Linked DNA regions of Astyanax mexicanus. The protein of the gene in region 1 purifies or fractionates together with the protein of each later gene. This does not show direct contact. Links are inferred from orthologs where the notes say so. Each region holds a gene or a part of one and is shown in the gene's direction. Other genes may lie near its edges. The genes, in order: prpf4, zgpat, cd2bp2 and sart3.

Region 1 (7,321 bases):
GCCTAGTTTTAACAACTAGATTTTTTGTGTTGTTTTTACTTCTCGCTCCTCACTGATGGAGTGTGCCTTTTTGTTTATTTTGGACTTAACAAATGCCAGTCAATGAAGTCAACAAAGAAGCATCTGCCTTGTCATTGAGAAAACAGGCACAATGAAGAAGAAACAAATATATATATAGTCAGTTATTATACATGAAAGGATGTTTAATAGCAAATGTGAATGAAGAATGCTGTTGTGTTGATTTATTGTAGCTAAAATAAAAATTAATTTTGTAATTCCTCAAGATAAAGAACACATTGTGTTTGTACCAGCCTCCAGAAAATAGCACTAACCAACAATGTATTTTAGGTAACTCTTTTTTTTAATAATGAACTCTTAAATAAAAAGTGATTCAGCTGGCATTGAAGAACCACTTTTGGTTTTATAATGGGGATGTGTCAATATGCGTAACCTTTGAAGGCAACATTATGTTCGATATTTACTAAAAAATATCCTTAAATCAGCATAAACATAATTAAAATGCTCTACTCACTTGTAAATTGTAATACGATAAAGAGTGTCACTATCTTTGCTACTTGCAAGAGCAAGGGTCAATGCCAAGCCTGCATCTTTCAAAAGGACACTCGTGTGAAAAACATTTTTAAGAAACCATTATTGTTTTCTTAAACCAATGCACAAAATCATTTGAAGCGCCTTTCGTTTTAAGAGTGTGGTTATTAATATGTGTCAGTAAGCAGATAAAGACTGAATAGAAGTGACTAAACCTATGTTTACATCATCATCGAATAACTGGGATATTCTAAAGTAATGTAATCAGAACAGTATCTGGTATAAATCTGTTTGTCTCAAGTGTAGAATCAATGTTATAATGTTTACAGGTCAAACATACCTGCATAGTCTGAAATACAGTACTGTAATTAATTATATAAATGATAATGAAATGTGATTAAAAGCATGATGTGACTTCTGATTCCCTGTCTTGTATTTAAAACCTGATAAATCAGAATAGATTAAGATATGAAAAAGCCTGATAGATCAGAACAGATTATGTGTACTTTTAAGTTTTATAAAAAAAAAAAATAAAAAAAAGCAGATGACATTTTAGAAAATAGAGGGAGATTTTATTGATCTCTAACAAATAAGAGAATGCTTGCAAAAATAAGCAAGGAAACAACTTTGCCTGGTTAGTCCTTAAAATGCAGTGGTTATGACTTTGATCCTCTTCTCAGCCCATAGCAAAACAGGTTACTTTAAAGTCATAATGGCACTGTTGCACACTTTACACAGTCCTCCGCTCAAAACTGAAGGTTTCCAAATAATGATGGTAGAGTGTTTGGCTTTGGGTGAGGTTTGTATCCGATTCGCTCGTGGATCATCTGCTCTCTGGTCTTGCCCTCAGCACCTCCTGAAGCACCGCTCATCTCACTTGATGTTGGAACTCCAACCACATCCACTTCATCTCGCTGTTTCTTCCGACTCTAAAAACGATAAAAAATAAAAAAATAAATAATGTAAAGTGACTTTACAGTATCTGAGACAGACATTTATCACAAATCATTTTAGCTTAAAATGCCACAAGTCCTACCAACATTTTAGTTGTGTTATATATCCAGACATATCCTATAAATCCAGACATTCTGACTAGTCATATCAGGTCAACAAATCCAAGTGTAATTTTGACTAGTCATGTGTTTCTATTGATTTACATAAAATTTCATTGTCAGAATTTCAACATTATCCGATTAGCCCTTTAGGCAATGTTAAATAAATGTTTATTTAATGATTGTTTTTGCTATCAGGGATTTTCAGAATGGTTTATGCCAAATTTTATAGTAGTTATCTCAGCTGATATTTTTAATATTATTATATATATCCAGATCATATCATATATATGTAAATATTTTAGGGCTAAAACATTGATTTAACGTAAATGACGCCAACAATTTCATAACCTGCAGTTTTGACAGTTTGTTCTAGAAACCAGGCCAGAACTAGTGATATGGAATGTAAAAAACTTTAAAGCATTTTTATTCTTAAACTGTTAAAACAGAGCTGTAGAAGCAAAAAAAAACTTTTAGAATGTGTTACTTTTATGTCCAGCATTAGGCCAATGGACGAACACATATTTATACCCTCTCAGGATGAAAAGAAAAATGGGTAGGTTCAGACAAAATGTGCTATCTTCTGAAGTGTGTATCAGATTCATATATAATAATAATATAAAGTTTTTTTCCAAACCAGCAATTTCAAATAGTTAGGTTAGGTTAGGTCTCCTTCCTCTAAAATCCACTTTTTCTAGTTTTTGGTGAAATACAATAGGTCTCTCTGAGTTGTATATGCATGCTGCACAAGAAACTCTTCCTCAACCTCCATCTGTAGTAGCTAATAAAAGAAAATATTCAGAAAAACGAGTCGATCAGGAAAAGCACCCATGTCTACATCAATCTCGTCAGATAGGACGTAACAGAGCTAGAAACAGCATTGCAGTTTGTTCCTGTGTTATTTGTGCAAATATCACATCAGTGTTATATGCTTTGCCCAGTAATTCAGAGCTAAGGAACAAATGGTTAGAATTTGTCTATGGAACATTACCAGCAAAGTACAATTGAGATAGGTAGGTGTATTTTTATAACAGTTCTGTTTACACTTGCTTCAACTTCCTCTCTGCTGCGGGGTGGATTGTTACTTTCTGGACCTGGACTACCCACCTCTGTTTGTTTACGTAGGTTTACATAGGCTCTCTGGTGGGTCAGTGGCTGAACTGCACTTAGCACGGCATTATACATGTTGTAAAGTAACATATGACATTGCAAAGACTGTTATTAGAGTAAAAATGTTTTTATTTTAAAACGTTTCTAACTGTTGTCCGCCTCCTGGTCTCGCAGTGCTGTTAGCCAATTAAAGGCGATATGTTTGCATGTATGAATATTCATAAAATCCTATCGTTTCTCCGTTCAGCGCCTCCACAGGACTAAAGCATGGTTATAACAGATCACCGGAGCACTTTTTTTCTCAAAACCAGCTCACGTGGCATTCATTCATACTATAGGCCACAACCAGACATTTTACAATTTATTAAAAAACGATGGAATGAGACCTTTAATTAATTAATAGAGTTGATTAACTGACCTCAAGCTCCTTCTTCACTCCTTCAAACTCCTCGGTATCGTCCAGCTTCAGCTCCAGTCGTGTTGGTTTTCGGCGAAGCATGATTTTAGGAGGCTGGGTAGCTAATACTGCAGTTAACAGCTATGTATAGAACTGAAATACACTGTTTATCGATATTTCACAGCTGTTTCCGCTGTAAAACCACGGTTCAGCACAGCGCTGGTTATAAGCTGTCACCGAGACAGCAGAAAAAACGTCATTTTCAACAAAATATTATGGAGAAATGACTTTTTAAAGAGCTAAGTTAAAGCTAGCTTAATATAGTAAACAGGTCCAGTATGATAATGCTGCTGTGTTTCTAACAGCACGTTATTTACCCATAAAGGCGTTTACTACTGGATCTATAGCTGTTATATAGCTAGCGTTAGCAGTGTCGAGAACAGCCCCGACTTAATATCGAATTTAGAGTATAAATATCGATATATACATTTAACGCCAAGCAAGCAAGTTGGCGGTTGTTGCCTTGTCTGCCGGAAGTTGGTAACTACTCTAGCTAAGGGTTTCTGGGAAATGTAGTTCCGTTTTGTATTTTTTTTTCCATAAAGGCTAGAATATAATAACATTACATTAACATTTTTATTTTCCTTTTAACATTTTTATTTTCCTACTATTATTATTATTATTATTATTATTATTATTATTATTATTATTATTATTATTAATAATAATATTATTATATAATGCAAAATAATGCAAAGATGTTCATAATAATAAAGTTTTAAGAGTTTAGAAATAAAAAGTTTTTAATCACAGTTTTCATGCATTTTGGCATAATAAAAGACCACTTAAAAAGCCATCAAACCAAGCTGAACGGCTTGCAATTTAGCACCAGCAGTGACATAAAGTTATCCAAAATCAGTGTGTAAGACTGGTGAAGAAGAACATGCCAAGATTTTTTTTTATATAATATTTATTTAAATTATTTAAATTTTATTTATTAAAATTATAAGATTTTCGGGGTTTTCCATCCGCTATTGATTTCTAAACTTAAAACCTTATAAACTTGTTTTCTTTGCCATATTTGAGATCTGAAAGCTGAAAACATATTTATAAAATCCCCGCTTCAGTCCTCCAGATCCAGTCTCCGGTAGGTAGATGTCGCTGCGGCGAGCAGCGCTGCTTTTCTCCGTTCAAAGCTGTGACGAGTTCCTGCGCGCCGCTCAGATCGTGGTGGTTGTGTCGGAGTGGGCAGTGTGGGACTATGAACCACAACTTTACTTCAGATTCTGATTTAAATAAGCTGTAAAAAGCCTCTTCGTTTCCTGGACGCTGTGTAGTTTCAGTAGAAGGGCTCGTAAACTCAAAAACAGCTGGATTAAAGTGTTTTCTCGGGCAGGTTGGTGCTGATTTGGTCTTGAATTGTCTGCACTGGTGCCTTTTTAGTAACGTTACTGTAGCTGTAGCGCCTGTGTTCGTTTGAGTTGTGCTATCTTGTAAAAACGTGCTACTCTAGGGTTTATTTAAAGGTAAAAATACAAAAAGCACCATGTTAGAACATGCAGCCGGCAGTGTAGGTAAAGTAGTTATTGTGGTAGCCTAAATCACTGTATCAAGGAAGATTCAAGACAATAAAATTTTAGTTGTTAATTATTATTATTATTATTATTGTTATTGTTATTATTATTATTATTATAGTGAGCGAGCTTAGGTTGTTTATCCAATATATAAAAAAAAACATTTATTTTGTAAAACATTGCACATATAAACATAAACACCTGATGGACATTAGACTTCATTTTCATATTCATTCTTTGTGCATTGCCAATTTGTTTAGTCCCTGTAAGATAGGGCATTTATTTATCTAAAATACTTTATTCTGTTAAGATTATTCATATTCTCTATAACTATTTTGATAATTATTAAATATATTACTACTGTATAGTTATTTATAATACTTATTTATTGTTTAATGTGATTGGGTGCTCCAATACGTTATAAAGAGTATTTAACTCTGTTAATAAAGCTGCTTATATAGAACAGCTGGTAAGACAAGTAGTCGACAAGTCTAGGTAGGATATGTGGATAGATGTTTGGATCACTGTAAATATATAGGATAATGACATAGTTTTTTCATAATTTATATTAAAATCTCAATTAACACTTAAACAATAAGAGTGAGTTTAGATTGTATAACACCAATGGAAAACAGAATTATCATGAAACACAATAAAAATGGAAAAAGTGAATCAGCGCAAGCGCAGAGCTGCTAGTTAGTGAATATTGATGGTTGGCATAAAATAGAACATTCATTCTTATGGAGCCCCTGTAAGTTAAACCCAGTTTAAACCTTTTAAAACCTTTTTTCTTTCAAACAGGTGGTGCTGAACTCAGTTGAGCCCCTTGAAAGATGTCTGATGAAGATGAAGCCCCTCTGGTAAAAAGGTCTCGGATCTTCTATGGAAGTCTTGAAGAAAAGGAGAGGGAGCGTCTTGGCCGTGAGGGATCCTCAGGCTCTGGGAAAGATGCTATTAAAGCTGGAATTGAGGCTGGAAATATTAACATCTCCAGTGGTAAGACCTTGCAGAGCTGCTTGAAAATATTTATTTAAATGTAACTCATTAACTCACTATAATGTTTTAAGATGGAGACACTGTGGTAAAATGTTTTATAGTTTAAAAGGTATGAGATTCATAAAGAATACACAAGAGCAACAACATCCAGTGGATTTTTATCATCAATTAGAGCAAGTAATAGAGAGAGAAACCAATACCACAGATATTCAACCAAACATTATTTCAGATTACCAAAAGCTAAAACTAACTACATGTGCAAAACAGTAATTTATAGAGCTATTAAAGAGTGGAATTATTTACCAGAATCATTAACTAAAACTGATAGCAAAACACAGTTTAAAAAACGAGTGAACAAAACATTATCTAACTAATATTAAAGACAGTAAATCCTAACTATTAAATTGAACAGTGGAGGAAGTTGTGCAAGGGAAAATCAGGATTGAATAGAGGTGATGAGGTGTCTAGGACACACTAGATTATTATTTCTTTGTTTGTTAGTTTTCTGTGTAACTATTTTGTGTAGTTAATATTCACTTTTTATGTATATATATATGGAAATGTGAACATTCTTTTGTACGTGTGTGTGTGTGTGTAAAACAAATAAAACACTAGAAAATCTTCTGCCCAGCAAACTAGGGCTGGACCCGAATATTCGGGTATTCGGATATTCGTTCGTTGAGTAGGTATTCGGTTTTTAATTTTGGTATTCGGATATTCGTTTTTTTCCTCCTTTCCAGAGTTCCACCTCACTCTAACCACTTCTGTTCTCGCGGGTCCCGTCAGAATATCTTGCGCGCGGGACAGAACTGAACTGTTATTGGCTGGAGCGGGAGTTTAATCCAGACGATGCGGGAGCAAATTAATAAATAAAGTAAATTTTAAGCATTAAATGTAGTTTATTTAATTTATATTAGGAACGTGGGGCGGGAGCGGCAGAAATGTGTATGTGGCGGGCGGGCGCGGGATTAAAAGAAGCAATTTTTTTGCGGAGCGGTAACGAGACAGAAACGCGGGAGCGTGGAAGAGTGGGTTTAAAAATCAGTCTCGCACAGACCTCTATTATACATGATAAAAAAAAATGCAGGCTCTTCGAAACTGATTTATATAATAAAACGTAAGGGGTAATGTGGCAACAGTAGGGGCTAAATCGGTTACAAAAGCCTGGCCTACAAAAATGATGTCTGAACGAATTTCCTCTTATCTAATATAATTTAAAATGGTTTAAAAATATAAAATAATTTCTAAGCAAACGAAATATTTAATATTGAGCTTATAGCCCAAGTGCAAAAATACAAAATCAGTAATATGCCCTGCACAATGCTTAAACCGAAATAGACCAAGTACAATAACGTCATTAACAATGACTTTCCTCTACTCTAATATAATTTAACATGGTTTAAAAATATAAAATAATTTCTAAACAAACGAAATATTTAATATTGAGCTTATAGCCCAAGTGCAAAAATACAAAATCAGTAATATGCCCTGCACAATCCTTTAACCGAAATAGACCAAGTACAGTTTACAATGACTGTCCTCTAATATAATTAACAATGTTTAAGAATATAAAATACTTCCTGAACAAACGTTTTTTTTGTTTGTTTTTTTAAGCAAATAGCCTAAGTGTGAAAACACAAACA
Region 2 (6,915 bases), on another chromosome or scaffold:
CAGCAAAAAAAACGTGTAAAACTGATGTGAACCGATGGCTACTACTTCTTCTTTTTTTTTTTCTTTTTTTTTTTTTTACAGTAAAAGCGGAAACTACTGAAAAAGCCACAATCAAAGAACTAGACTCGAGCAAACAACTGAATCAAGGCGGCTCTCATTTGGGAACACACAATTTGTGTGGTGGTATGTACCCAAAATCTGTCTTAAGCTTTGCTACTCATGCACTATGTTAAAAAATAAAAAAATGAACACAAATATTGCAATGCTATTGTTCCGTCTATATCGTTCAGTCCTTTTACAGACTAATGTCGCAAAAAATGCTAATGTTGGTCAAAATAGTTGAACCTATGTTGGTGAGATCTTGTTTATTTTTAGATTAGGGTCCGTATTAATATAACATGCGTTTTGTGTCAGTAGAATAATTCATACAAACTCTGGTAACAATACACTCAAAAATAAAATACGTTTTTGTAATATAAGTATGTTTTCTAAAAGTTTTAAAGATATATAATATATAGTAATTTAGACAGTTTAGACAATTATTTATTTAGCTTTTTCATTAAAGAAGAAACATTAACCACTCCCCAGTAATGGATTAATATGGTCAATGCAGTATATGTAATGTAAATTTTTTTTGGAAAAAAAAAAGTTGCCATAAGGCTGCAGATGTGAAAATGTACAAAACTATTGTCAAAATAGACAATTTACATAAAGAATGAAAGACCAGATTTCACTGAAACACAAACAGACTAACTACTACCAAGAAAACATATATTTTATTCCTTTCTCATCGGTTTTACTTCATTTTTATTGCACAGTGATTTAAGGCATCCTCCGTGTTAATAGTTCCTTGTTCTGTATACTTTTTTTATATTGAAGGCATAAATAAAATGTGATAATTTTAATATCAGAAGTGATAACAAAAGAAAAATTGTACATTGTAAATGTCAATTCTTGGAAGGACACACTTCAAAAAATAAAGAATTACAAAAAAAGAAGTTAACCACTGACATCCGCGTGATCACAACCCTCACACTGTTTAATTTTTAATTTAATTTTAATAAAGGGACTGAAGATACTTTCTGAATGTTCAGCAAATCTTTGTATCTTTTGAATCAAAATAAGTGTATCCTCAGCTTTGAGTCAACCATGCTTTCATTAAATTAATTCTATTATTTAAATTGTCCACCCCTGTCATGCAGCTTGCCATGACAGGGTGAACAAACACATGAATACATGCAAGTAAAAATAAAAAAGTGGCAGAGGTGGGTTTCTGTGTAGTCTGAAGTCTTATAAATATGATAAATAGTTAGAAGATTAAAAGTATATGCCAAAAAACACAAATAATGACCCACACACATATAAATAATAAACTAGTTTGCTGGAATAAGTGTTGTGTCCTCAATTTTCAACCTCTTAAGGTCTAATGGTACTTCTAATGTGGTATTTGCTCTATTTTTCTCCATTTACAGTGGGTGCAGTGAAGGATCAGAAACCACAGAAGCCACAGACGTCAGGAAAAGATGGCCAGTTCAGCGCTACCCTTCTGTCCGACATTAAAAAAGCTATTGGTTCTGAAAAAACCAATCAACTATTTATAGCGTTGCAGACGTACAAGAAAACAAATAATTATGAGCAGATGGTATCAACAGTTGTGGGATTGCTGACAGAGCGGGACGAAGACATTGTCCTTTTAAGACGTGAGTTTTAATCCCATACCCAGGAAAACATTTTGCTGTTTCTTATAATATTATAAATAAATATAATATTTATTTATAAGAAACATACTTATTATAAATAAGTAGAGAAATATGAAAACTTAACTGCTACTTTTGCTGATGATTTTCTTTTTTTTTTCTTTTTTTGTTTAGGGTTATCTGTGTTCATCCCGCCACACCACAGTCAGCAGTTCTCTGAGATGTTAAAGTCTTTGACTGGCAGTGCTTCAGTGACCTGTGAAGAATCAGAAGAAGCTTCCAGTCACCCAGTTCCAGGTAGAATTCAGGGCCTGCATTTAACATACATCACAGCCTAAGATCAGAAAGTCCTTTAAGCACTACTGTTTAAGATTATGGTCGAGTCCTATATCAGCATTCGTACTCGTAGGACTTTAATAAATATGGGCTCAGATGATATTTACACAGATTCCATGGATAAGCACAACATGTATTTGTTAATCCTTATTGATTTTCATGAAGAAATCATTATTCATTTCAAGTCCAAACCTCACATGTTCTGCAGTAGATTCAGCTTTTTGAAAAACAAAACATTGATTTCTTTCATTCTTCATTCTGTCATTATATTTTAAAATATATTTAATAGTGGAAGTATAATGCAATATTGATTTAGTCTTGTTTCATTTGTCTCCACAGCATCACAACTCTCAGCAGGAAAATCACAGAGCAAGATATCATCCTTCTTCTCCTGACCAGGGGAATCCAGCCAGACATACTGATTTGTTTGGTTAAAAGTAGAAATACCATCCGATATGCAGATTAATTAGGATTAAGTGAACTCTTTCTCTATCAGAATGACAAAAAAAAGCAGGATTTGTTTTGGTTGTTTATGTAATGTTTCATTGACCAAAGATGAAAAATTATGTATGATTTATGCTATCTTAACTATTTTAATAAAAACAATGGTATTTGTGTTTTTTCAAATTTATATTAAAATATATATTTGTACTTATTTCTTGTCTCGTTTCCCATTTGTGGATAATATTAACTGTGACAAGGCACATTGAAACTTTCTGAACCTGTGCTGGATAGTTATGTAAAGTAAATTAATGTAATTTACTGTAATGTAATTAGGCTATGCCTGTATACATTATTTGAATAAGTAAAGCAGTACAATAAAGTAAAATGTATTTATTTGCCTGTTTTATACAAGTTTTTATTTATTTAATATAAACTCAATAAGTTTATCTAATGAAAATTGTTTGTGTTATGTTTAGAATATTTTAATAGATACTAGTGTCCAAATAATTAATGACATTATATTAAAGGCAATTGTTATTTTTAGAGTTAAGATAAGGGTTATTTTCATGTAAAATGAGTAGATTAAGCAATTGAGTCTGGTAAAAAAAAAAAAGACAGGATATTAAAAAGCCATAATATCTTTCTATAGTCAAGGCAAGTACATTGTACTTTTTGTTACGTAATGAATGGTTCAAAGGGAGTATTTTTGCATTACCTCAAATACATGGTTTAAATCATTATTCCTTTGTCCAATCCTGCTGTTCATGTTTCTGCTTTTTTTTTAAGTTTCATTTGTCTCCACAGCATTACAACTCTCAGCAGAACAAATAAAGATATTAATAATATACTCTATATCTAGGTAAATGTATGAAAAAAGCATATTATATCCCCAAGGTTCAGGTTCACAGAGCATGTGAGTGACGTCGCTGAGGTAGTGTCTCTGTGGGCGGTCAGAGTTGCCAGGTTCGCGTTTTTTCCTCCAAATTTGGCTTGTTTTAAAAATCTTTTCTCTTTTGAAATTTTAGGGGTGGCGGGGTGCATTTTTTTTGGGGGGGGGGGGGCTACTTAAAAAAATAGCGCAGCCGCCAAAAAAAAAAAAAATTAACAAAAAAAAAAAAGATATCACAGGGCGATGAAAATAAAATATTAAAGAGGAGAGAAGAGAGTTCAGGAGGGGCAAGAACAGTAAAAGTCATTTTTTGCTAATTATGTTACTATTAAATGTTACTAATGTTACAATATTATTAATGACTTTTAGGTAAATAGCAATACTAATAATAAATCCCTTATGAACAAAATACTCAAAGTGTACAAAAGTCGTACACGTATTGTTTTTTGTCATTTACTTCAAACGTGTAACAGACATATTTTGGGCTAGTTTAAGCTTCTGAAGGGCGGGTTTAAGACTGAGTTAGGGCTGCATATTTTCGTTGGACTTGGCAACCCTGGCTGCTACAGAGCCGCACAGGGCAGCTTTAAACTACAGAAACGCAGCAGAGTTTATTCGCTCGGACGTGAACACTATGTAACGTAAGATATAAATACTGAGTGTTTTTTTACTTCTTATTTAATATCTTTTAATGAAGACTAAACTCACCAGGCTGTTAAACAGCTACTATTATCTTAGCTAAGCTAACTGCTAGACAGCCAAATGCTAGCTAGCTACAAGCCGGGTTTGTTATTAGCTTGCTAGGTTTAGCTAGCTCACTGTGTTGAGGTAGTTATATGGCGACTTCCACAGATATTCTTAGTTAATTTTAGATTTAAAAAAACACTTTTGTTCCACCAGTCATGTAGTTGGTTACTCTAATTATTAGCTAGAGTGGTTTTATTGAAGGAAGTGAGCTGGTTAGGTAGTTAGTTAGCTTGATTTGTGGAGAAGGTCAGAAGGCAGAAGCTCGTCAGTAAAAATGTTATTCTGTAATATTTTGGCGAGACTATCTAGCTAATAAAACAAATACTACGTTTTGAATGAGATACATGTACTTAACTATCAAGGACATAGTGCTGCCCATAGGCAACAAACCACATTTTTTGTTTTTCCATCCATTCATGTATCGTTAATATCTGTCTATCTACTTATCTACCCACCCACTCTCTCCCTTTCCTTGTTCTTTATATCTATCCTTATCCCTATCCCCTGTTTAATTTGTCTGTAAGAGACCACGTCAGTTTCTCTGATCTTGGATCTATAGGTAAACGTTTGAGTAAAATAAACACTGTTGTTTTATTCTATAAACTACAGACAACTTTTCTCCCAAATTCCTAATAAAAATAATGTCATTTAGAGCATTTATTTGCAGAAAATGAGAAATGGCTCGAATAACAAAAAAGATGCAGAGATTTCAGACCTCAAATAATGCAAAAAAAAAAAAAACGTTTATTTTCATAAAAGTCCAGAAATCAATATTTGGTGGAATACCCCTGGTTATTAATCACAGTTTTTATGCATCTTGGCATGTTCTCCTCCACCAGTCTTACACACTGCTTTTGGAAAGCTTTTTTCCACTCCTGGTTGCAAAAATTCAAGCAGTTCAGCTTGGTTTAAGAATCAAATAAACTCAGAATTTTTTGCAAGCTGTATTAATATGTGCAAAAATATATAATTGGCTGTTTATATTCTTACTGTTTTTGTAAACTGTTTTTGTTGCCTTTTTAAGTTGTACCACATTAGTTAGATTAAGCTTGATGTAGCAGTGGTTCTTTTCTCTGGTCCTACAGACCACCTTCTCGCCTGCATGTTTTGGGAGCTTCCTTGCTCTAAAACTCCTGATTCAAATGAATAGCTTGTCATCATAATTCTAAATCTAAATTTAAGTTTGTTATATCCACAGGGACTTCCATGCTTTCACAAATGATATATTTTCTCCCTAAGAATACAATTAATGGCATAAAGGATTAAATCTGCCTTTCTGTCTCATAACCATAATTACACTTTGCATAACATATACAACTTGTTTTCTCTTATACCCAAGTCAATTACAGAATAAAAATGTTATATAAAAGCTTTTACTGCATTATTCTCTTATTCCTCTTTATCTGCAGGCACCTCCTTTCATAGCTCCCTACCATGGATGAAGGCAACCTGCAACAAGCCATTGAGACCTACAATGCTCAGCTTCAGCAGGTAGAAGCTGCACTTGCTTGTGGTCTGGGTGCTTCAGAGCAGGCAGACCTGCTGAAGTTAAAGGAGGATCTTGTACAACTTATTGAGCTCACTGAATCCAGCTTGATTTCAGTCAAGAAGAGCCAACTTTTTGCCTCAATTGAGGATTCCCAAACAAAGCAGGAAGCGCCAGCAGAAACCCAAGAACTGTCCAAGAAGAATAACAATTTGGATGATGAGTTTGCAGCCTTTTATTCTGGACTTTCTGAAAGTGCTGCGGAGGTAGCACAAAGCCGCGGGCCTGATGATGATGAAGAGGAAGTGGATGATGAGGAGGAGGAGGAGGAAGAAGAAGATGACTACATGAGTGGTACTAAAGTACGAGCACCTTATCGCACCTCTTGGGGAACACTTGAGTACCACAATGCCATGGTAGTGTGCTCAGAGGAACCAGATGGGGATGAGGCTCGAGTGAGAGTCCTTTACCTCTATCCTACACACAAGTCTATAAAGCCCTGCCCTTTCTTTCTGGATGGCAAGTGCCGCTTTATGGATAGCTGCAGGTATGAAAACCTTATTTTTTTAATTAAGTTTAATTATTAGTTTGAGTTTTTCATTTTTAGTTTATATAACCCTGAGATTGGAAATGGCACCAATCTGTTGGTGTTTTGTTTTTCATTGGGTATTTTGCACAGAATTTAGATTCATTCAGGTGGAAGCATATTTGCATGTGTTATTGTACTGGATTGGTTTTGTGATTGACATTTCAGCCATCTCTGGGTAATATGGAAATAATAAGCCGCCTCTGCCTGTCTTTTTGTTTGTTGTCACTCAGGTACTCCCATGGGGAGGTGGTATGTGTGTCCGAGCTGAGGGAATTTCTTGAAGCAGATCTCACACAAATGCAGGCAGGATCTTCGTGTTTGGCCAAGCATGAAGACGGCATCTGGTATCCTGCCAAAATCACAGGTACACCTCCTCAGCCGTTCTGTCAAGATTTATTTCAACGTCAATGATGAACATGGCAGTTTCATGCTTAATTTTTCTGTATAAATTTGTTTTTATTCTTTTAATTTTTTTTTTTACTTAAATACACATTCACAGAGATCGAGGATGGCTTCTACACGGTTAAATTTGATTCCTTGCTGCTAAAGGAAGCTGTCCTTGAGGCTGATAGTGTTATTCCCCCTTTGCGACCGGATGAGTCCTCCTCTTCCTCCTCTGACTCGGAAGATGACTCTGAGGAATGTGAAACAGGTTATGCTAAAGGTTTGTTTCTTTAAGTCTGTGTGGAGAATCCCCCAGGAAAATTTGAAGTTGAAATGCTCACAC
Region 3 (7,996 bases), on another chromosome or scaffold:
ACGGAGAGGAGAAGGAGGAGTAAAGACGGGATGAAAGGAACAGCGCGGAGAACAGGAAGATGAAGCGATGACCCGCCGTCCCTCACTGCTCTGTCCTGCCAGTCTGTCCTCTGTCCCTCTTTTCTTTCCTTTCCTTTCTTTTGTTAATCACCAGCACTTGTTCCCTCTGTGTCTCCTCTTCACACACTCCTCCAGAAAAGACTCGTCTCCTAGAGACTCCAAGAAGAAGAGCGGAGAGGCTAATGTCTGTGGTGTCCGTCAGTGGGGAAAACGGGGTTGTTTTCAATAAAATGTTACAATCTTTTAACATCATCTCCATTTCTCCTTCTAGCTCTCTCTCTGTCTCTCTCTCTTGCTCACCACTCATTTCTCCTCTTTCCAACCTTTTCTACCTTCATACCTCTACACTCACTGTTAGGTGTCTCTTTCCAGCCTAGGCTGCAACAGCTAATTAGGTAGATCTGAAAGAGTTTGTTGTGCTCGTATTCTTATGTTCTCGCTCTGGGGAATGCAAAACCAAATGGAGGGATCTCTTTCTACAATAGAGGAATCCAGAGACCCCCGTGTTGTGCTCCAGACCCTGGTGCTCTTCCTTCAGCAGTAGAAAACAAATCTAAAACATCAAAACGCATGAGGATAAGAAAAGGAATGGCACCATGAGAAAGCTCCGCCTCCTAAAAGTGATGGCAGACTTTTCACTGAGGGAGAAAGAGAGAAAGATGAAAACCCTGAAGAGGAATGGAGAGCGGCGACAGAAAGAACCCATTTCCGTCTTCTCTCCCCCTCTCCACTCCTCTGTTCCCCATGTATTTTGTGCTGTCCTCACCTGGGCTTCGCTTTGCTCTGTCACCAACTCTTCTGTAACCAATAAAAAGAGAGAATCTGTGAATAAAGCAATCTTATCTTTCGTACCTCTGCGTCTGTCCATACTGGCTAATTTACAGGGAGTAGCGGCTGAGGTCTGTTGATTAGGTATGAAGTATTGGGTGAGGAGATCTGAAGAACAACTGCAGTATCTCCATCCACGTTTATAGACATTTCCAGACTTTACAAATCCAAAAATGCCAGCTCAAGCTGGTCAAGCTGATTGACCAATTTAGTTCTTGACCAGCACAGAGTATTTTTTTGTTTGGGTTTGATGGTTTAGCTGGTTAATGGCCAATAACTTGACCAGTATGACTGAAGTTGATCAACCATCATGACAAGCAGAACCAAGCATGACCATAATTGAATGCATCATTCACTATGCCACTCACAAGCTGGTTAATTTAGGGTATGTTTCCCCTGGAGGAACAGCTTTCAAACACCATCTCAGACCATCTGAAACCAGCTACCAGCAAATGCAGGTCTGCATTTGTAGCATGGTGTTTCTGGGAGAGGTGCAGCGAAAGTACAATAAACCTGGTGAAACAGAAACAAAGTGAGAACATACCACCCTGAAACAAGCTGAGCAAGGATTCCGGAAACACTTCTTTTATTTACAATAAAACTCTGGTCATTTGGAGTAACAGATCAGACCATTAACTTTAGTCAATTGTAACAAAAGTAACACATTGCAACAGACTGCAAAATAAAGTCAGTGGATATTATATAGAAATATTTCCAGCAACAGCTAAAATTCATGCATTTCCACAGAATTAATTTTGCAACATGTTGCATGACTTCATTTTAAGATGGCAACGCCCAGAAAACTACATCACTGTACTGTGTGTACAAACAGTGTTTTTTTTTATTAAACAATCAGTGCCCTTTTTTTGAAGTCTCAATGCTTACTTTTAAATAACAGGGCCATCAGAATTTTATTAATCAAGTTTTGAGCTAATTTGAGCTTGTTAATGGTGCAAAAATAGCGATTTCTTTATCTGGCCAACACTGTTACCCTATTGCTAACATTGTAAGCCTAAAAGTGCTGTATTTCGAAATGCTGGAGAGAATGGAGGTGGAATATTCAACAAAAAAGTTTGTACTTGTTATCATGTTTCATTACACCCCTAGTCAATTTTACACCAGATTTCTCCTTTAAGTCTGAGACATATAAGTCAAGCCCCTTTGAATACAATTTGTCACAAGATCTTAGTAGTGAGGGTGTGGCCCACAGAGCTCAGAGACTTTGCTTGTCAAATTGGCAGTAATCACAGTTTTTACATTTTATGGCAGATCCATAGAGTCATATCAGAGAATTTCAGAGCGCAAAATACCCACTGTAACAGGTTTGTTTGACTCCCAAGTGAAAAAGTTATGTGTTCATACAGACCGCATATAAGTCTATGGTCCATCGCAGCTCAAAAAAATGGTTATAGTTAATGTTCTTAGAACGTTCAATCTGTCAAGTTTTCAGAATGTTCTTAGAACATTTTTTTTTATTTAAATGTTCTGGTAACATCGCTGCAAACTTGTGTCAGCATTTTTAGTTTTAGGAATGTTTCTTTAAATTTTTCCATATTGTTAGTAGTTTCTCTAGCCACACCCAGGCTTGATTACCACCATACTCACCATTCTCAATTAAGAAATCACTTAAATAGAACCTGTCTGACAAAGTGAAGTAGACCAAAATATACTCAAAAGCTACACATCATGCCGTGATCCAAATAAATTCAGGAACAATTGAGAAAGTAATTGAGATCTATCAGTCTGTAAAAGTTCATAAAGCCATTTTCAAAGTTTTGGGACTCCAGTGAACCACAGTGGGAACCGTTATCCACAAATGGCAAAAACGTGGAACAGTGGTGAACCTTTCCACAAGTGCCAGCCAGCCAAAATTACTGCAAGAGTGCAGCGACAACTCATGCAAGAGGTCACATAAAGACCCCACAACAACATCCAAAGAACTGCAGACCTTATCTAAATATTATTTATTCTAGTTGTATTCTATTTTTCACATTTTATTAAGAATAAAGTAAGTTACAGAGACTCCTCCTAAACTCTTAATATGAGTAATAATGAGTTAAATGAAAAAAAAAAAGAATTATAGCTAAAAGAAACAGTGAAATATTAGGAAAAAAATGCCAGTTAGTAATGCCATTAGTGTGATTTTTATTTCAAAATAAAAGATGTAACTATGCAGCATATCTATGCAGTAACACCAGACTGAGACTGCCCCTGGAACTGCAAGTGTCTTTTAATTTTGTATTACTTATTTGGCATTTGTATTTTAATATCATAAACCATAATCACTGTAGAATATTGCAGTTTTATTTGTAGAGAAACGTGTTATTTACCTCAGAATATGACACTCAGCCTTCTCACATCACTGTCTGTGGGAGAGAGCACTGCTGTGGAGGAGAATATTATATAATTGATTAAATGTGTGGCTCAATAAGTGGTTATTCTTAAAATAACGTTTTAATTATGTTAAAATATAAATAGCTTTTCTACAGAAGCACTTACTGTTTCTACATCAAATAACACCGTGTATAATTTATACAAACTGACCTCTAGACTTCGCGATTTTAAAAGTGATCTGAGGTAAAATGCTTCCGCCCAGTGGTGGCTGGCGTGTACTGCAGCTTTGTGAAATAGCTCCAGTCCATTAGACCACTGCAGTCCTGTGTCATTCTGTACTGTAATCCTCGTATGCCCAGATTCGGGGTTCTGTGTCTAAAGGGTTTTTGCCTATGAGAAATAAGAATGAGCTTTTCAAAAACTCCTCTCTATCAAATTCTGTAGTAAATAATTGAATTTTTAATATAATAGACAAAAAAATCACTCCTGTTAATGGCACTCATTCCTGTTACTGGAACTCGCTCCTGTTACTTTCATTCCTGTCACTCAAAACATAAAAAGTAACAGGAATGAAAGTAAAAGGACTGAGTTTTTGGCATAGAATTAGCAAAAACATGAAAAATAGCTAAATGGCGGCTATGCTAATAGCATTTGGACACTAAGCACATTCTAGTGATTTTCCCAAAATATAAAATTTAAAATATAATTCATGTCATGTTGTAAATTCTGGAATGCAACATAACGAAACTGGAATGAAGCAAAACATTCAACATTCAAAACAAATGGATGAAGCAGGATTTAACCTGATTAAACACAATGTACTGACAGTCTTGTCTGTCTGTTCTGTGGAACAACAAGATGATCTATCAATAAATAACTGAGTAAACAGTAAAATAATAAAGGTGAAAAAATGTCCAATTTCTTGCAGTAAGGCTCTCTTAAACAGTAGTGTATGTTGTACTGCTAAAACTGATTTACGATTCACAGGAAAAAGTGCAGAATTTTTAAATAATTTTTCAATCTGACACCAAAACATTAGCATTGAGTAAACCCTTACAGAGTAAACTGAAAGATCTAATCATTTAGACTGTCTTGTTTGTAATCAATGACTAAAGAAATGTTCATTCTGTCTCTAACATGCTCACTGATATAAATACTTACCTCTGGGTCATGAACTGAGTGAAATTAAATCATTAGCTGCTTATCTATTATGTGTGACTGTTTGTACAAACTGTTTTGAGAAATGGCCACACTGTGGTGCAAATATTAATTCTGAAGAACTGCATCAAAAAGCTGTAAACTGTAATCTAAACCCTATACAGCTCTGGAAAAAAAATAAGAGACCACCTAATGATGATGTTTTTCTTTGATTTTACCAAATTGAAAACCTCTGGAATATAATCAAGAGGAAGATGGATGATCACAAGCCATCAAAACAAGCTGAACTGCTTGAATTTTTGCACCAGGAGTGACATAAAGTTATCCAAAAGCAGTGTTTAAGACTGGTGAAGAAGAACATGACATGATGCACGAAAAATGTGATTTTCTGCGAAGAAAAAATGCTCAAAATGACAATATTTTCATTTGGAATTTGGGAGAAATGTTGTCCGTGGTTTATAAAATTAAACCACAATGTTCATTTTACTCAAATCTATATACCTAGCAAAATCATAGAAACTGATTCAGAAGTTTCAGAGCTGTATAACAGTGTAAGTGGTGGTTGCGCGGTGTCTCCAGCAGGCGGCGCTGTGATAAACGGCTCTCAGCTGAAGGAGGCGGTGTTTCCGTCCTGCAGTTGAATGGCGCAGAGGGAAAATCAGCCACAGCATAAAGGTAAACAGCTCGATTTCTCCACTATAAACATCAGATTTACCCTCCGCTTTAACAAACGAGGGACCTGCACACTGCTGAAATGTGTTTACTGTCCGCAGACCACAACTTCTAAATTGTGACTTCTAAAAAGTCTAAATATCCTCTAATCCTGCAAACACAGGCCACTCAGTGACTGTAGCTTAGCATAGGCTGCTAATCACTCACACACTTACCTACACTCTCATTACTGATCTTATTAATATCAGCACTGAAAACAATGACGTTACTGCAAACTGTTACAGCGTACAGAGAGAGTGTCTACCTGTAACAATACAGCTAGATATATAATCCATATATCTAATAAACCCAATACATATAAAGTTAGTTGATTGTGACAATGTCTTTCTGTAATAAACTCATTAAAACATTAGAATAAACCCAAATAAACATAAAGCAAGTGAACAGTAAGAGAGTCTACATGTAAAACTCTGTATAATATTAGAATACTAAACCCAAATAAACATAAAGTCAGTGAGTGTGTCTACCTGTAAAACTCTATATAACATAAGAATAAACCCAAATAAACAAAGGCAGTGGTCATTATAAGTTTCTATCTATAATTATCTATATATAACATTAGAATATACCTAAATAAACAGTCAGTATTTAGTGAGTGTCTACCTGTAAATAAAATTATATAACATTAAAAAAACTCAAATAAACATAAAGTCAGTGGTCAGTGAGAGTGTCTACCTGTAAATAAAACTATATAACAATAGAATAAACTCAGATAAACATAAAGTCTGTGAACAGTGACCTGTAATTAACTCTATATATAGTATTAGAGTAAACTCAATAAACATAGTCAGTGTTCATTAGAATATCTACCTGTAATTAAATCTATATAGTATTAGAGTCAACCTAAGAAACATAAAGTCAGTGATCAGACACTGTATGGACTTGTATGGAGTTTCTCCAGCAACTCATCTGATTTACTTTAATGAAGGACTAGTTAGATAAACAAGGGGTTGGATAGAAACTGGGAATACAGCAATCTTTGTATTGATTATTAATGTATTTTGTCTAATGTTACTGTATTATGTGTATAACATACTCTTGAAATCTCTCTTAAACTTTATTCCAGAATGTCAAAAAGAAAAGTCACATTTGAGGATGGAGATGGAGAGTTCAGTTTGGATGATGAAGTTCCAAAGAAGAAGGTATGTTTATACTTGTCCATCAATCCTGTATGAAATGGCAACAGTTCGACAAGTAAATCAGACGAATCATCTAAGCAAATCATCACCCTCTTTAAGTTGTATATTGAGGTCTGTTTGTAGTTGCTGATCGTCTTTTGCCATCTGTATGCATTTATTTATGGGATAAAGAATGGTTGGGATAGACTTGTGTAAAAAGAAGGCAGGGCTAAATGTTGTAGGCTTAGTAGGCAGATACACAGTATATGTGAATACAGTGAAGGAAATAATTATTTGATCAATTGCTGATTTCGTAAGTTCGTAAGCCCACTGATAAATACATGAACGGTCTATAATTTTAACAGTAAAAGATAGAATATAAATAAAAAATAAAATCCAGAAATCACATTATACAAATGTATTTGCATTTTGCAGAGAGAAATAAGTATTTGATCCCTCTGGCAAACAAGACTTAATACTTGGTGGCAAAACACTTGTTGGCAAGCACAGCAGTCAGACATTTTTTGTAGTTATTGATGAAGTTTGCACACATGTCAGGAGGAATTTTAGTCCCGTCCTCTTTGCGGATCATCTCTAAATTATTAAGATTTTGATGCTGTTGCTTGGCAAATTGGAGCTTCAGCTCCCTCCATAAGTTTTCTTTGGAATTGGCTAGGGCACTCCATGACCTTGTTGCCTTGGCTGTATGTTTTGGGTCATTGTTGGGCTGCAAGACCCAGCCATGGCCTATGAATCATCCACAGGTGCCTTCTTGACCAGTGGGACTTTTCGGGCACTGCAACATTACAGCATAATGTTTTACCAATGGTATTGTTGGTGACTGTGATCCCTGCTGCCTTGAAATCATTAACAAGTTCCCCCGTGTAGTTTTAGGCTGATTTTTCACCATCCTCCTGAATACCACACAAGGTGAGATTTTGCTTGGAGCCCCGAACAATGTCGATTGACTATTGCACCAATAGCTGTCTCGTTCTCACCCATCATCTTACTTAAGGTATTGTAGCTCATTCCAGCCATGTGCAGGGCTATGATCTTGTCCCTGACATCCTTAGGAAGCTCTTTGGTCTTGCTCATGTTGTAGAGGTTAGAATCTGACTGATTTATTGAGTGTGTGGACAGTAGTAGTCTGTAGGGGTAGAAGTCACATTTAACAGCCACAAAGTGTACATATAATCTAATTGATACTCTGTCTGTTTTTGTGCAGATGTATGATGAGGTGAGTGGTCCAGGCTCCAGGTTCAAGGAGAAACACTCTCTGGACAGTGATGAGGAAGACGAGGGTGATGAGGCAGAAAATGGCGACAAATATAATATTCTCGCCAGTGATGATGTTGAAGGTAGGTGTTGTGCCTGTCAGGGTGTGTCCACTCTCTCTCTTAATATGTTCTCTTTTTCACGTGTGTTTACTGGTGTGTCAGTGTGGGAAGTGAGCTGAGGACATACTGTCATAATTCTATTCAGACACTTGTTGGGTGTTGTACAGATTCTAATTACTTCCTCTACTACTACTAACTGTAATAATAAAAAAGTAACTTTATAATGGGAGATCAATAATTCTCTTGATTCTAAGTGCATATATGAATCATATCTTAACTGCAATGCTTAAAATATAGAAGAAGCAATAAATTAGGAGGTGTTTTGATACTTGTGTTCATGTAGTGTATAATCTTATGCTCTATTGACTACCCCAAGTTGTGAACAGACAAAGACGTTCCAGAAGTGCCACAGTTGATAGAGGAAAAATA
Region 4 (7,646 bases), on another chromosome or scaffold:
GAAATAAGTGTTTATCTGGGTTATTATTAGTTGTTAGCAATTTCAGCCACTAAAAAATACTAGTGTTGTAGTACTCCAGTCTGTCCTTGATCTCAAGACCATAAACCAGATTTGGAATTGTTTTTGTCTTACTTTCAGGAGAGATGGACTCAGAGACCCAGAAATTCCAATGTGTCTCTCCTAGGTAATGCTTATTCGAAACCAAAAATACAAACCCACACAATCAATGTTAAAAAGGACAATAACCCAGTGTTATTTTCTGACATTTTTTTTAATGTGATAAGCTAATGGTGCAGACTGCAACCACTGTCAACTCCTCAAACCAGAGCGAATAGGGTTAGCTGTGGTGCTATTGGTGGGTCTGTTTGTTTATATTAAAGGTGAGGTGCTAGACTAATACCGTATGTATGTTTATCAGATAATTAATGTTTCAGAATAATAGAGATATGATGAGACAACTTATGCCCCAGTCCTAATATGTCCTGTGTGTGGCAAGTTAATCAGCCATGTATACAGTTGCAAGAAAAAGTATGTGAACCCTTTGAGATCACTTGGATTTCTAAATTAATTAATTATCAAATGTGTTGTGATCTTTATCTAAGTCACAGCAATAGACAAACACAGTCTGCCTAAACTAATACTACACAAACAATATATGTTTGCATGGTTTTATTGAAAACAACATGTTAACATTCACAGTGCAGGGTGAAAAAAGTATGTGAACCTTTGGATTTAATAAATGGTTGATCCGCCTTTGGCAGCAAAAACCTAAAAAAAACGTTTCCTGTAGCTGCAGATCAGACCTGCAGTCAGGAGGAATTCCTCTTTACAAAACTGTTTCAGTTCAGCTATAATATTCTTGGGATATCTGGTGTGAATCGCTCTCTTGAGGCCATGATGCCACAGCATCTCAATTGGGTTCAGGAGGACAGGACTCTCCAGAAGGCGGATTTTCTTCTGTTGAAGCCGTTCAGTTGTTGATTTAATTCGGTTTTGGGTCGTTGTCCTGTTGCATCATCCATCCTCTGTTGAGCTTCAGTTGGAGGATAGATCTTAAGTTTTCCTGCAAAATGTATTGGAAAACTTGGGAATTCATTTTTTTGTTGATGACGGCAATCCGTCCAGGCCCTGAAGCAGCAAAGCAGCCCCAAAACATAATACCCCCTCCACCATGTTTCACAGTTGGGATGAGGTTTTGATGATGGTGTGTTGTGCATTTTTATACACATAGCGCTGTGTGTTCCTTCCAAACAACTCAGTTTTGGTTTCATCTGTCCACAGTTTATTTAGCCAGTACTGCTGTGTAGAACATCCAGGTGCTCAATTGCAAACTTCAAACGTGCAGTATTGTTTTTTTGGACAGCAGTGGCTTCCTCTGTGGTGTCCTGTTTTCTTTATTGTAGATCTGTCAACAGAAATGTTAGCATGTGCCAGAGATTTCAGAGAGTCTTTAGCTGACACTCTAAGATTCTTCCTCACCTCATTGATCATTCTGCGCTGTGCTCTTGCAGTCATCTTTACAGGACAAACACGCCTAGAGAGAGTAGCAACAGTGCTGAACTTTTTCCATTTGTAGAGCGTTTGTATTACCGTGGAAACATAAACATCAAGGCTTTTAGAGATAATTTAGTGACCCTTTCGAGCTTCATGCAAGTCATCAATTCTTGAACGTAGGTCTTTTGAGAGCTCTTTTGTGTGAAGCATGATTCACATCAAGCAATACTTCTTAAGAGCAGCACACTCTAAACTGGCATTGGTTTTTATAGGACAGGTCATCTTTAACCAACACATCCAATCTCATCACATCCTGCCTCCAATTAGCTCTTAGAAAAGTCATTAGCCTAGGGGTTCACATACTTTGTCCCTCCCTCACTGTGAATGTTAACATGTTGTGTTAAAAAAACATGCAAACATATATTTATGTGTATGGTATTGGTTTAAGCAGACTGTGTTTGTCTATTGTTCTGATTTAGATGAAGAACAGAACACATTTAATGACCAATTTATGCAGAGATCCAAGTAATCCCAAAGGGTTCACATACTTTTTCTTGCAACTATATATTAATATTGGATTGCTTTACCAAAGAAAAAAGAAGGTACAGGTGAGAAAAGTAAAGTGAAATGATGGGATTTTACTGTCCAGTGTGAGCAGAGGTCTGAAAAATACATTCTGAGTTCTGAGGAACTTTCCACTTTTAGCTATTTAAATTAGACCAGGTAATAGAGAATGTGGGAGGAATGTTTGATAACAGTTTTACAGGTTTACCTACTTATATGATAAAAAAATACTTAAAATGAAAGTAACATACCCGTCCTAAATACATAATAGTTTGTTTGTCTCCTGTAAACTCTGCTTAACTTCATTTACAGTCCAGTTTATTTTTTTTAGGGGAAAAAGAGCAGCGAGGCTGAACAACAAGGTAGTAATGCTCTGCTAATGTTGCTGCTGTTAAAGATTTTCACATATACAATAGAATAAGCAAATGGTGCCCTGTAACTGCAGGACTATTTACAATGTAACAGCTTTATTCACACATCATTATTAGTTAGGTCTGGTATATATTTTAATCAGCTTTTCTCAAATTTGCTGGATGGATTTCTATTCAAAGTCCATTCCATTTGAGGAATTTATTTTCAAGAGATGGTAAAATGGCTATTTCACTGTGGTTTTAGAAATACAGCCATGCCAGAATTAGTTCATGAAGTAAAAAACACTTTTTCTTCTGTCGTCCTGCAGGCAAAACTACTAATCCCAAACATCAGTGAACTTATGGCCAATTTCCTGATTTCTTTTTTTCTCTATTTTGCTGTATATATCTGTTAGTTTGTGTAGCGAAAACAGTTGAAATGTATTTGTACATGTCATTTTCCAACCTTGCATCTTCTACAACTAAGTCTCAGATTGTGCTACTTGGTCTTTAAGACTGATATATGCAAATTGTTCTTTTCTGATTGGCTGGTCTGTATGGCGCCTAATTCCTGGGCTGTTTATTTATTTTTATTTGGTTATTTCAACAGGAAGAATCAGAAACCGCACAGAATTGGTTGACATAAAAAGGAAAAAATAAAATAAAAACATCCATGAGGGTACAGTTATGCAAAGCGTCCTGCCCACAGTTCTTACAGTCATTCTATTTGTGTATCCTAAACTAAAAAACATAAAATTGTGAAAAAAAAAATCTGGCAAACAGTTTCTTTAAATATATGAGCAGAAGTGGTTAAACATTTAGATGGTTGACATGTGACCCTGACTTCACGCTAATGCCATGTAATTGTAGAAACAAACAATGGGTCTATTCTGGCATTACTCCTTTAAAGTATATTTGTCAGATACATATTCATACATGAAAAAAACTGAATAATATATAAAGTAAATAGAACATATAAAACAACAAAAAAAGATAAAGTGTATATGTCATATTCCGCCAAATCTGTGACATTTCTTTCCCCAGGAAATTACATGTATAAATGTGCACAGGAAAAACTTTACTTTAAAATACATTTTATTATTGAGCATAATGTCTTGTACACTGACCAAATTCCTTCAGAGATGTAATAAATATGCTTTAATTTTTTTTCCACAATAGATTCATTATATTTAAGTTAAAATACACATTTTAGTTGTGTGCCTGAGTTACCGTAACACATTACCCCATCTGAAACATCTGGAACATTCTACAATTCACATCTACAACATGAAGTGACATCAGTTGGTTCATCTGAAGACCATGGGAAGACAAAAATTAATATTTTTTGTGTATTTGATCTTATTGTAACTATTGACTGAGGGGGCCACTCTCAACACTCTGTCCTGTAATCTAAATTAATTCTTAAATCTTATTTATTTTTAAAATACAATTTTTGGGAAAATCACTCAATGTGCTCAATTTCCTCATGCTTTTTTCATGTTTTTGCAAATTCTATGCTAAAAGCTCATTCTTCTTAATTTTATACCTGTTGTTAAAAACACAAAAAGTAACAGGAGTGATTTTTTTTGTCATAAATATCAATTATTAGACATGCAGTCAACCATTTCTTTAAAATAAAAACTTTCTTGAGAGGAAATGAAAGGAAACAGTGGACTTGCTTTTAAACATGCATTTTAAGCTTACATGAGTTTTGTAACCACCATTTACAAGCTTAGACATATGTGTTATTAGATTCATAGTTGAAAAAGGATAAAAAAACTAAGTTTAATTTGGAAGAGTTACAACAAGCAAATTGCAGCCATTGGGTGGAATAGCGCAATATCAAGTTAAAATGTTCAACAAACTGCTGTCAGAAACAAATAATTAAAAATAAATTTCTTTTTCTCCTCCGCTTGGCGGGAAACGAGCTGCGAATGTTTGTTCACGAGCCCTGACCTGAAAACAGGCGCTGTTAAAATTCCCACCTTATGCTGTACAAATCCCGCCCCTTCGGCTTCTATTGGTTTACTTGACCACGCCTTCTGCGCTATAATTGGCTAACAGTTCATACTCTCTGATACTCACAGGGGTACTTGTGTGTATGAAATACAAGCCAATCATAGCGCAGGCTCGCGGTTCACTGGCCAATCGTAGCGCGCAGAGGGCAGGGCTTGTGCGGAATGTGGGCGGGGAAGCGAAACACACATAACTCTGTTACCAGGCAGATCACTCGCAACATGGCGGCAACTGGGAACGAAGCGGAGACGTTATTGCCAGATATTGAGGAGGAGGAGGAAGAGGCCGAGGAGATGGAGCGGGAGATGGAGTCCGAGGACGAGGAGGGCATGGGTGTGGAGAATTCCGACGAGGAGGACGAGGGTGACACGTCCGAGGACGAGCGGGAAAACGAAGCGGAGATTCAGCGGCTGGAGGAGCAGGTGGGCTTTAAGTCTAACAGCTCCGTAACTGAGAATGAATGGAGGAACACACGCAGCTAAGCTAGCGGAGGCTAACGGTGTCCGCCTCCTTCAGGAATCGGTTCATTTGAACAGGTTCAGTTCGTTCAATGAGTTAGAATCATTAACCGATTCATTAGTGTTCTGTCAATGTGTGCCCCTTGTCAAACTGCTATTATAGTGTGTATTATTTAGAATTAGAAGAATTAGAATTTACAATCTACCTCCTAAACCAGCAGATATAGTAGATTAAAATGTGCCAAGTGTGCCATGTAAGTAATACAAGCTAAATTTTACAAATTTTTATGGTTCAGAATACTTTATATCATGTTTAGGAATTAAAAAGTAAGTTTTTTGGATTCATTAAAAATATATTTTATATTAGAATAGTAATATTAGTAAGATTAATATATGTTGTGTGCATTACAGAAAGAAAACAGCCTTCATTTAGCCTTATTTTTCCAGAATTGGAACATAATTCAGATCTGAAAGGGTTCAGTCACATTTTAGAATTTCATTACACTCAAGCACATTTTTTTACAATAGGTGTACAAAAAATTATTTCGCATGATAAACACACAAATGCACATGCGCTGAGCCAGTAACGTGCAGATATTTATGCATAGCACAACAGAACAGAACAGAGCAGAAGTCTTCCTAGAAAAAAGTGTGATATAACATATATAGTGGACCAACACCAGCAGATGACATTACTCTCCAAACAATCACTGATTGGTGGAAACTTCACACTAGACCTCAAGCAGTTTGGACTGTGTGTCTCTCCACTCTTCCTCCAGACTCTGATTTCTTGATTTACAAATGAAATGTAAAATTTACTGATGATCAGTGATGGTTTGGAGAGTCATGTCATCTGCTGGTGTTGACCCACTGTGTTATATCAAGTTCCAAGTCAGTGCAGTTTTTTCCTGAAAAAACTTACAGCACTTCATGCTTCCCTCTGCTGACAACTTTATTTTTTTTTATTTCATTTTCTAGCAGGACTTGGCACTTACCACAGTGCCAAAAGTACCAATTAGTCTTATGTAACATTCTAATTTACTGAGACACTGATTTTCTGGGTTTTATTAGCTGTAAGCCATAATCATCAACAATAAAAGAAATGAAATTTTAAAATGGATCACTCTGTGGTTAATGCATTTACATAATCTATGAGTTTCACATTTTTTAAACTGAGTTAATGAAATAGAGTAACTTTCCAATTATATTCTTATTTTCTATAGATTTACTAGATGCTGAGAAAACTATTCCAGGTGACTACCTTATGAAGACACCTTTTAGAGAGAGTTAAATACCATGAGTGTGCAGATCTGTATACCTAGAAGAAACCAACATAAAAACATATCCTGTTTTGTTTAAAAAGATAAATCCTGTATAGCTTTATCTTTAATACTAAATGTACAGTGTAAAAACTCTGAACGTATGTTCAACGTTCAGTTCAAGGGAACCGTTTGAAAGAATCGGTTCAGTAAGCTGATTCAAACTTTACTACCAAATACAAGCTAACTGGCTAACGTTAGCTTAGCTTTGGGGTGCGCAGTTTTCCAAAATGATGTAAAGTGTCACATTTTTACACTCTCTGGACAGTTAGCCGGACACACAGCTAGCTGTCTCTCTTATCTCCTCTATCAGAACCCTTTTAGGCTTTATTTAAGCTGTGCTTTGGGTCTGGAGAGAACTGAACCGAGTTAAACAGTAGTTAGCTGCAGCTGCGTGGGTTAGCTCAGCTAGCTAATGTTGTCCTCAGGGGTCTGCGTTTATTTATTAATTAATGGAGGGTTTTCTGAGAGCTCGCTTATGTTAGACGCGTCTATCTGTTGTTAGTTAGCAGGTTAGCTGATGTTTATCTGTGTTATTTGGTTAGTTAGATAGGTTATATAGCTGGGGTTGCCAGGTTCTGTCCTGTTTTTGTGAAGCGCACGTTGTATTGCCTCCTGGTTAAAATGCGCGCCGTGACCGTGGGCGTGAATAAACAGATATTTCCTGGTTTTAAAGTTTAATTAAAGCAGTTGTTAGAAAGCAGAACATTAATTTATTATTTCCAGCTCTATTCGCTACATGAGCTCTTTAGTAGGAGGTTAAACAGGCGGGAAAGTGAGACATGAATCCAGCGCTTCTCCTCTCCCGTTACGCAATGTTGTTGTTTATGTTCTGTACCGGTGTTCCAGCTGTGATGCCCATCGATAAGCGCTGCTTAGCGGTGAGCTCCGCGCGTCTGCACATTTATTAATGTGATTTATGTCTACTCCTAACGGTAGAGTAACTCATAAACCTAAATTAAAGCCCATTTTTATTTTACAATGTCAGCTTTTTTCAATATTGTGGCCAAACACTAACACAGACTTCTGTGATTTTTGTTCTATCTTACACAACATTTCAAACTATCATAAATTTCACACACCTCAAAAACAAATTTGTGTGCACTAAAAATAGGCTTCAGTGCAAAACTGTAAGCTATATAACCCACATACCATTAGTACCAACTCTGCTAGCTAAAAACAACTATTATAATATGTTCCTAAAAACAGCAGCCTGTGTATCCTGACATCCTGTGTATCCACGTAAAAAGTGATGACAAAAAAGGGGCCAAGTTGCAACAACCATCAAAAACTTTGATGAAACTGGCTCTCATCAGGACCACCCCTGGAAAGGAAGAGCATAAGATTCATCTGTTGCCCAGGATAAGTTCATCAGAATTACCAGCCTCAGGAACCACAAGTAAACAGCACCCCAGATAGGAGCACCTAAATGCTTCAGAGTATTT

The links.
Region 2: the proteins of prpf4 (region 1) and zgpat purify together in Homo sapiens (affinity purification with mass spectrometry; 4 studies listed by BioGRID and IntAct, counting the BioPlex papers as one, with this or other methods). This does not show direct contact. The link is inferred for Astyanax mexicanus from reciprocal best matches to the Homo sapiens genes PRPF4 and ZGPAT.
Region 3: the proteins of prpf4 (region 1) and cd2bp2 purify together in Homo sapiens (affinity purification with mass spectrometry; 3 studies listed by BioGRID and IntAct, with this or other methods). This does not show direct contact. The link is inferred for Astyanax mexicanus from reciprocal best matches to the Homo sapiens genes PRPF4 and CD2BP2.
Region 4: the proteins of prpf4 (region 1) and sart3 purify together in Homo sapiens (affinity purification with mass spectrometry; 5 studies listed by BioGRID and IntAct, counting the BioPlex papers as one, with this or other methods). This does not show direct contact. The link is inferred for Astyanax mexicanus from reciprocal best matches to the Homo sapiens genes PRPF4 and SART3.

What each region holds. Positions count from the first base shown.
Region 1 is NC_064408.1:18,604,125-18,611,445, forward strand, and holds the start of prpf4 (U4/U6 small nuclear ribonucleoprotein Prp4), read left to right. Parts: upstream 1-4,314; 5' UTR 4,315-4,504; intron 4,505-5,483; 5' UTR 5,484-5,515; coding exon 5,516-5,678; intron 5,679-7,321. Other genes in the region: anaphase-promoting complex subunit CDC26, read right to left, coding at 1,296-1,478, 3,130-3,210. UniProt on the Homo sapiens protein: Plays a role in pre-mRNA splicing as component of the U4/U6-U5 tri-snRNP complex that is involved in spliceosome assembly, and as component of the precatalytic spliceosome (spliceosome B complex).
Region 2 is NC_064423.1:17,420,635-17,427,549, forward strand, and holds the start of zgpat (zinc finger CCCH-type with G patch domain-containing protein), read left to right. Parts: upstream 1-3,902; 5' UTR 3,903-4,007; intron 4,008-5,522; 5' UTR 5,523-5,547; coding exon 5,548-6,146; intron 6,147-6,418; coding exon 6,419-6,552; intron 6,553-6,687; coding exon 6,688-6,852; intron 6,853-6,915. Other genes in the region: rtel1 (regulator of telomere elongation helicase 1), read left to right, coding at 82-183, 1,473-1,700, 1,872-1,994, 2,373-2,428. UniProt on the Homo sapiens protein: Transcription repressor that specifically binds the 5'-GGAG[GA]A[GA]A-3' consensus sequence. Represses transcription by recruiting the chromatin multiprotein complex NuRD to target promoters.
Region 3 is NC_064426.1:15,180,434-15,188,429, forward strand, and holds the start of cd2bp2 (CD2 antigen cytoplasmic tail-binding protein 2), read left to right. Parts: upstream 1-4,973; 5' UTR 4,974-5,055; intron 5,056-6,178; 5' UTR 6,179-6,179; coding exon 6,180-6,254; intron 6,255-7,455; coding exon 7,456-7,588; intron 7,589-7,996. Other genes in the region: mylpfa (myosin regulatory light chain 2, skeletal muscle), read left to right, coding at 1-23. UniProt on the Homo sapiens protein: Involved in pre-mRNA splicing as component of the U5 snRNP complex that is involved in spliceosome assembly.
Region 4 is NC_064429.1:3,642,183-3,649,828, forward strand, and holds the start of sart3 (squamous cell carcinoma antigen recognized by T-cells 3), read left to right. Parts: upstream 1-4,633; 5' UTR 4,634-4,645; coding exon 4,646-4,846; intron 4,847-7,646. UniProt on the Homo sapiens protein: U6 snRNP-binding protein that functions as a recycling factor of the splicing machinery. Promotes the initial reassembly of U4 and U6 snRNPs following their ejection from the spliceosome during its maturation.